Ovis aries: one gene and its partner. The protein of the gene in region 1 purifies or fractionates together with the protein of each later gene. This does not show direct contact. Links are inferred from orthologs where the notes say so. Each region holds a gene or a part of one and is shown on either strand. Other genes may lie near its edges.

What was found.
Region 2: the proteins of PSMG3 (region 1) and PSMA5 purify together in Homo sapiens (co-immunoprecipitation; 4 studies listed by BioGRID and IntAct, with this or other methods). This does not show direct contact. The link is inferred for Ovis aries from reciprocal best matches to the Homo sapiens genes PSMG3 and PSMA5.

Annotation. Positions count from the first base shown.
Region 1 is NC_056077.1:41,764,671-41,768,557, forward strand, and holds PSMG3 (proteasome assembly chaperone 3), read left to right. Parts: upstream 1-1,459; 5' UTR 1,460-2,053; coding exon 2,054-2,269; intron 2,270-2,675; coding exon 2,676-2,828; 3' UTR 2,829-3,145; downstream 3,146-3,887. UniProt on the Homo sapiens protein: Chaperone protein which promotes assembly of the 20S proteasome. May cooperate with PSMG1-PSMG2 heterodimers to orchestrate the correct assembly of proteasomes.
Region 2 is NC_056054.1:86,671,071-86,674,977, reverse strand, and holds the start of PSMA5 (proteasome subunit alpha type-5), read left to right. Parts: upstream 1-1,170; 5' UTR 1,171-1,283; coding exon 1,284-1,312; intron 1,313-3,907. UniProt on the Homo sapiens protein: Component of the 20S core proteasome complex involved in the proteolytic degradation of most intracellular proteins. This complex plays numerous essential roles within the cell by associating with different regulatory particles.

The DNA of each region.
Region 1 (3,887 bases):
TGCCAGATTAACGCCAGCTGTCACCATCCCCTCGGCCGTGGACGGCTGGCCCGGAGGGGCTTTCAAGGGTAGAGGCTCCTGGAGCCACCTAGAGGGGTTCACCGGCCTTAGTCAGGGAGCTCCCTAGAGGCCCAGTGGTTAAGACTCCGCACCTCCAATGCAGCAGACGTGGGAACTGAGATATTCGAAAGTCAGAGATTGCAGCAAACCGCTTTTGGTTGCACCACGCGGCATGTGGGGCCTTAGTTCCCCGACCAGGAACGGAACCCTGCGCTGGGAGCATGGTGTCAGCCACTGGCCCACCAGGGAAGCCCTCTGAACTCTTTCCCAACTAGGCGCTCACTTCTGGACTTCTGTGACCCCCGATCCTGCATGTCTGGTAACCGCCAAAGTCTAACCAGTTCCTCATCCCCCACCGTCCCCCAGGTGGTCTGAAGCGTCCCTGGCCTGCCTCCAGCAGGAGTTCTCCTGGGTTTTCCTGCCTAGAAACCCCCCACCCCCCTTTCCCTTAGTAATTTCCCACCCACTGACTCTGTCCTGATCTTTGGCTGTAAATCCCCACTGGTTCCTGCTGCTCTAAGTGAAAAACGTCACGTGCTGTATCAGTAAGCAAAGAATGCTGCCACCTACAAGCCGTCACATCACAGTTGCCCGACGGTGCACCCTGAGGGGACTCGGGGTGAGAAAGCACGAGAAGGCACCCCAGGAAGCTGAGGTGCACATCAAAGGAACGTGGGAAAGCGCTGAATTCCTGGAGATGCCTGGTTTTCCTTTATTAAGCAATCTTCTGACTTTCGGACTACCCGGTCTTTGTTGCAAAAACCTTATACACCCTGGCTCCTCCCTTACCTCTTCGGGGCAGTCCCTCAGTTATCTGGGATGCTGCGTCCTGGGCTCAAGTCCTCAGTTTTGTCCAAGGAATAAAACATAACTCCCGACTTTTAGGTCGTGTGTTTTTTTTCAGTCAACAGGCATTTGGGATGAACCCAGAGGGCCCCACACTGAGGTCTCTTGCGCCCTCCATCAAGGGTCCTGACTGGGACGTTTTCGGTGCTTAAACTGGCGTCCGGCCCTGCTTCTCTCTCAGCTCCCCGTGTTTCCCTGAAGGTCCTGGAACCCATGGCCAAGGGCCAGAAACCCCGTTTCTGAGGCTCCTCAACCACAGAGCTGCAGGGTCTCCCTCAGGAGGGCGCGAGGACGCCCTTCTGGAGAAGTCAGGCGCCCCTCGCCTGAGGGCCAGGGGCCGAGAGGCCCACGGGTTGGTGCTGCAGCCTCTTTCCGCAAACATGGCGCCCAGCCCTTCCCGCGCGGCGGCGCGGAACCCCACAGCGCAGAGTCCCGAGGCCGCAGCAGGAGCCGGAAGTCCCCAGGCTGCACTTCCGGCGGGGGAGGGCTCGGCGCTCGCGGGGCGGGGCCTGCCGGGGCGGGCCCGCGGGGCCTGCGTGCGTCACTTCCGGGCGCGGCGCGGTGAGCGCGGGCGGCATGGCGGGTGGCGGGGTAGTGGGCGTCCCGCGCGGCTGGAGCCGGGCGGAGGGGCTGGGCGCCCCCGGGGGCGCCGCCCGGCCCCCGCCCTCTTCCCCGCGCTGTGGTGGTTTTGCTGCTGCTTCTGTGGGACCGACGGTTTCTCAAAACGCAGAAAACGATTAAAACGATTAGTGGGCGGACCGGAGGGGCGGCGGAGGCGCGGCCCTGCTCTGCCGGGTTTCCGAGTCTGCGGCGCCCACTCCCCTGCGAGGGCGGGCCCCGGGACTCAGGGAGGGCCCTCGGGGTGGGGTGGGGCCCCCGCGCGGGGAGGGATTGTCCTCGTCTGCCTCCTCAGGGAGAAGCGTACTTTGACATCCAGCCTGTGTGTGTCTGAGTGAATCCAGAAAGTTCCGGGCGAATAAAGCCTGTGTGGGCGAACAGACAGGCTTGTGAATGGGCCAACTTGTGTTTCTCTTTTGATACCAAATAGTGTTTATTCTGGAGCTCCCAGGCTATCTGCCATTGACTGATTTCCTTTTCTGTTTTTTTCCTTAACATAAATGAAAGGTGCCATTGAGCAGACTCAGCCATGGAAGGTAAACCATTGTTGACATCCAAGCAGAAGACTGCAGTGGTGTGTGGAGTCCCCACCCAGGTGGTCTGCACAGCCTTCAGCAGTCACATCCTGGTGGTGGTGACCCAGCTGGGGAAGATGGGTACCTTGGTCTCCCTGGAACCCAGCAGCGTGACTGGCGACATCGGCAAGCCTGTGCTGACCACTAAAGTCCTCCTCGGGAAGGATGAGGTAATGTGGTTGGGAAGGGCTCCCCGTGCCCGTACTTTGTCAGGATGGGGAGCGTCTGGAGGCAAGCACAGCCCCCGTCCCCCGCCACCTCAGCCCAGGGCAGCACTGTGCGGGGCCCCCAGATAATTTGAGGGTGTCCGCCTGCTGCGTGCAGCCCGTCGGCATTTTATCAGACAGATGCACAGAGGCACTGATTCTGTAACGTAAGCCTCATGGTAATGAGTTCCTGTTCTGCCCTGTTCTGGAAAGATCATCTGTGAGGTCTGACAGGGTTTCCCTCTGTGGACTCTCACGGCCCTTTCAGTAGAGATAACCAGGAGAGAGAGGAGCCGGGAAGCTGGCCTGGGCTCCTGAGAGGTACTGGGTGAAGGCAGTTAAAGTGGTCTTCTCCCCTTGCCCTCGTCAGCCCCTCGTCCATGTCTTCGCAAAGAACCTGGTGGCGTTTGTTTCTCAAGAAGCTGGAAACAGAGCCGTTCTCCTCGCCCTGGCCATGAAGGACAAGAGCATGGAGGCGGTGAAGGGCCTGAAGGAGGTGATCCAGACGTGCCAGGTGTGGTGACGCTGGAGTGGCCACCCCTGCCGTCCGGGAGGGCCCTGCGGCAGCTCAGACACCTCGAGGCTCTGAAGGCGCTCCTTTAGTTAGGAGGAGGCGCTCTCTGGCTGTGGCCCTTGGAGCTGGAAGAAACACAGACGCCTCAGGCTGACGTTGGTTTGGAGGCGGACGGCCCCTGTGGAGGGAGGACAGGAAGCGTGTCCTGAGGCGGTTGTGCATCCTCCCCAGGTCCAGAGAGCCCCTCGCGCGTGAGAACTGAGTCACGGCCCTCAGTTGTTGGGGGATTTCTTTTATTATTAAAAATAAATGCATATCCCCAAATACCTCACCGTTCTTCTTAACGATGCTGAGAAACGTCAAGCACTCGATACGCGTTCACTTCAGTGAACAGCCGAGGGAAGGAAAACCTATTTGGCAAAAGCTCGATCTGAGGTTCATGTGGTGAGATGGTTCCAGGAGCTGACTCTGCCCCTCCCTCCTCCTCCTCCTCTTCCCCTGGCTTTTCTGATCCTTCCGCTGCCCAGACGCGGCTCACAGCCTCCTGATGGGCTGGCACCCTAGCCTCCAGAGCCGTGTGCTTAAAGGTGGAGGGTAGAGGCGCATCCCCCCACAGGCGCTGGTGCTTATGGGGGTGGCCGGGGGGCAGAAGTGCAAACTGGGACTTTAGGGGCTGCTGAGGACTGGTGATGGTGATGGTGAGACCACGCTGCTGGTCTGAGAAGGACTCGGGTGGGGTTGCTGAGCATGGGACAGGACAGCCGTGTTCAAAGGCTCGTTCCCTCAGCAGATGCTGGGGCCCCTGGGGAGGCACGTCCACAGCCCCTTGGGACCATCGGGTAAACCCGCAGGCACACACCAGCTGTGGGGTAACCCGGTGACCTGTGTCAGGAGGGCCGGGCAGTCATACAAAGGTCCAGCAGACTTCTGGAGCGGTGCAGATGCCCCTGTGTGGGGAGCTTGAGGGATCCGGAAGCCAGGCCCCCACCAGGGGAAACAGGCAGATCCATGCCGGGCAGCTCAGGGCTCTTCGGCGGCTACATCTGGTGGGGGCTCCGGGTCCCACCT
Region 2 (3,907 bases), on another chromosome or scaffold:
CTGTGAGTGTGCTCTCCTACCCTTAGGGAAGGTAAGTTAGAAAAACAAACAAGACATTGCTGCCAGTTAATTCATGGATAATAGAAAAAGCAGTGAACAATTTGAATCCCAGATCCAGAGCTCTGGGTCACTAGGTTGAAAGCCTGTAGTACTAGTGGCTGGGGGGTAAGAATGGAAGTCCCCTACACATGAATGAGTTCCCTTCCAAGAGCGTGTTAGTAAGTCCAACAAAGTTAGCCTAAGCATCCAACTAACACAATCGGCTATATAGTACTGTACTGTAATAGGTTTCTAAATACTTTTCACACTAATATATAAAAAACAAACACAAAAAAAATAAAGAAAACACTTTTAATCTATGGTACAGTACCTTGGAAAGTACAGTAGTACCAGCTACATCACCACTGCTTTAGCTCACTTCGGGATATCTTGGCCTTCAAATAAAGATACTATACTACTGTACTCTATATACTACTGTAAAGAACACAAAAGCAAAACCACTTGTAAAGGACGCACACATGTGACAATGTGAACTATCTTAGGTAACTGGACAGGGGAAGGCACTTCCCACCTTTGAAAGTTTGCAACTTTCAACTTTGAAATTTCCTATGTAGGAGACTTCCTGTAAAATTACCCTGGCCATGGGGAAACTTCAAGACCTTCCTACCAACTAAAACTCACCAACTTTTCTCAACAAACGAGCCATGGGAAGGGTGAGCTGAAGTGAATGGACTCGCTCACAGCACCGGTGCAGACGCAAGCATTTCCCAAGTTCAGTCCTGCAGGCAGTCACAGCACCTGGAGGGAAGTCTGCGCCAGAGCCGGAAGAGCGGGGAATACAGCTAACAGCCGGGCGGGTGGACAGCGAGGAGAGCCTGGGACAAACGCTCTCTGATAGGGACCCATCAAACCAGGGTTCAGACAGTCCGGCTCGCCATAAAATTACCCAGTCGACAATCTTGGGACAGGTTGACCACACGCCTTCAGTTCCGAGCGCCCCTGGCAACCACTAGCGATTTAAAACGGAAGAACGACCTTTGTCCCGCCCACCCTGGGCCACCGGAGGCCCGGCGGGTTAGCTCGTTGGCCCAATCACCTCGGCGGGAACTCCGATCAACCAATAAGAGACAGGTACGGGAGGGCGGGCTGAAGGGTGGCGAGCGCACGCGCAGCTGGGAGAGTGGCCCTGGCAGTGTGGCGGTGTGGGTGAGTTGGTTGCAGGTGGACTCGTGTTGGCTCTAAGAATCCCGGAGTAGCCACTGCCGCTTTCTCCTGCCCTTACCATGTTTCTCACCCGGTCTGAGTACGACAGGTCTGTATGGCTGGGGGGGAGGGGAGAGGGGGTCAGGTAACGGGTGGGCGGACGCGGGGCCCGGTCTGGGCCTGGGTTCTGCCGTGTCATCGGGGCACCCCCACGAACCCGAATTCTGGCCCAGCCAGGGGGTTTCCTCCCTTCCCCAGGCGTCCGCTGTGTTCTCCAAGGCTAGATTTGCGCCCATCGGCCTCAGTTGTCCTACCGCTGAGTCACTGCTGGGTCCCAAGTCGGTGCGGAAGCGTGAAGCTCCGCTTTGTGCTTCGGAAAAGAAGGCTGATGGGGCCGGAACTCTGACCTTTAACCCGGGGAAGGCCAGGAGTCACCCTCTCTCCCCTTCTTTTTGTGCTGAGTGTGACTGCCTTTTAAAAGATGTAAACGCGCTACCTGGAAGAAAAAGCAATTAGGGATCACTTAATGGGTTTGATGATTTCAGCTCCCTTTTCTTTCTAGGAGGACAGCCTCGTTTTCCGTTTCTTAGTTGTGGGAATAAAGGTGCTATTCCTTTGATTGAGTTGTAGTAGGGCGTCCTGGGATGTTTAGTTTCTGCAGAGGAGCGAAGGAAGTCTCAGCTTTGCCAAGACACAGTGTCTGGAGTCAGATTTTGTGGGAACTGAAATTTAGAGTGATTCTCAAGAGTTTTGTCATCATGCTGATTCAAATAGCCTTTTTGAATTTTTAAAAAGTTTAAGGGAAGTTGCTCTAAGTGTGTCGAAAACCAAACCTGTTTTTGAAATCAAAGCTGTGAGATTGTTGTATCTTTAAAAAACTTTCAGAGCTTGGGAATGTTAATATTAAGTTGTTCTACTTATGCTGTAGACATTTTTACTTTCAGTTTCTGTTTTGATCAGGTATGATTCACATAGCTAGCTATTAAGTTGCTTAAAAATTTTTGAGGCCAGGAAAGGCAGATGTTTTCTCTTTATTAGATGGCTTTGAGAAGCTGCATTTCTTCTCAAGTATATGTTGATCTTGTTGAAAGTCTTATCACCTAGAACTGCTACTTCTAAAAAAAATTTTTACTGACTCATAAGATGTATGTGAGGCTTTAAAACTGACTTTTTTTCTACTGTCCTATAAAATGACTTTGTTGGTCGGTATTTTCTAAAACATTGAAGAGAATCGTCTTTGTGTGATACAGTTTTGAGTAAGGGTGTGTATGATGGAAATTGTCCTTATCAGAAAACCTTTATTAAGGTTTTTGTGATCATTTACTTAACAGCTTTATTAACTGCTTCGTGTTACTCATTTTTGTATCTTCCTGCGTTTGTGTTGAGTCGCTTTACTCGTGTCTGACTCTCTGCGACCGCATGGACTGTAGCCCACCAGGCTCTTCTATCCAGGGGATTCTCCAGACAAGGATACTGGAGTGGGTTGCCATTTCCTCCTTCATTGTATCTTCATAAGAATGCCTAAAATATAGTCTGCTTGGCTAATATACTTAAATGCTTGCTGTGTACAAGGCACTGTTTTAGTTGCTGATCATATAGCAGTGAAAAAAATCAAGATCCTTGTTCTCATATGGGAGACTGTCCTTTAAAAACTACTTAACAGGAAAATTCTCTGGTGGTCCAGTGGTTAGAATTCTGGGCTTTCACTGCTGAGGGTGCAGGTTGGATCCCTGGTTAGGGAACAGATCCTATAAGCTATGAGGTATGGCCAAAAAAAAAAAACCCCGCTGTTTACAAAAGTAACTACAGTATAAGTCAGAAATGTGTTCATGTCATTAGAGAAGCTGAAATCAACACTATGGGAGTTTTAATGACAGAGGTTGCATTTGATATTATAAGGGGATTATGGAAAACTTTAGAAGGAGTTGATATTTAAACTGAGTTCAGGAGTAAGAATTTAATAAATATGCACAGTAAGAGTCAATAGTTTTGAGGCAGAGAATATAAGATGAACAGAGGAGGGGCCGTGAGAAAACACAGTTCATGTTTGAGAAAATTCTAGGCTTCTGGCACATACAATGCGCATATGGGAATAGGGAGTTCAGAGAAAAACACTGGTGCTAGGTATTGGGTGGCTTTTAATTTGAAGTTGAAGGGTTTGGGTCTTATTTTGTGCCATTAATTGTCATTTTAAGTTACACAGTCATAATTGTATTTATAGGAACTAATTGACTGAATTAGAGGAAAGAGTCAATACCGGTTAGATGGCTGTTATAGTTAGGTGAAAGGTAATGAGGGCATTGAGAATGGAAGGGAGAATTGAGTTACTGTGGGGGAGGAACTGATTTAAATTAATATGACTTGGCATATGGTTAATATGGGAAAGGGCTTCCCAGGTGGCTCAGCGGTAAAGAATCTGCCTGCCCATGCAGGAGCTGGAGGTTCATCCTTTGGTCGGGAAGATCCCCTGGAGGAGGAAATGGCAACCCACTCCAGTATTCTTGCCTGGAAAATCCCACAGACAGAGAGGAGCCTGCTGGACTCCAGTCGGTGGGGTTGCAGAGTCCAGCACGACTGAAGAGACTGGGCACTTGTGCACTAATACGGGAGAAGGGAAGCACTGAGTCAGGTCATTCAGAACTTTCTCGCTTGGGAAACTGGGAGCAGGGAGGTGTTTCAAAGTAAACAATGAAGTAGGAATGGC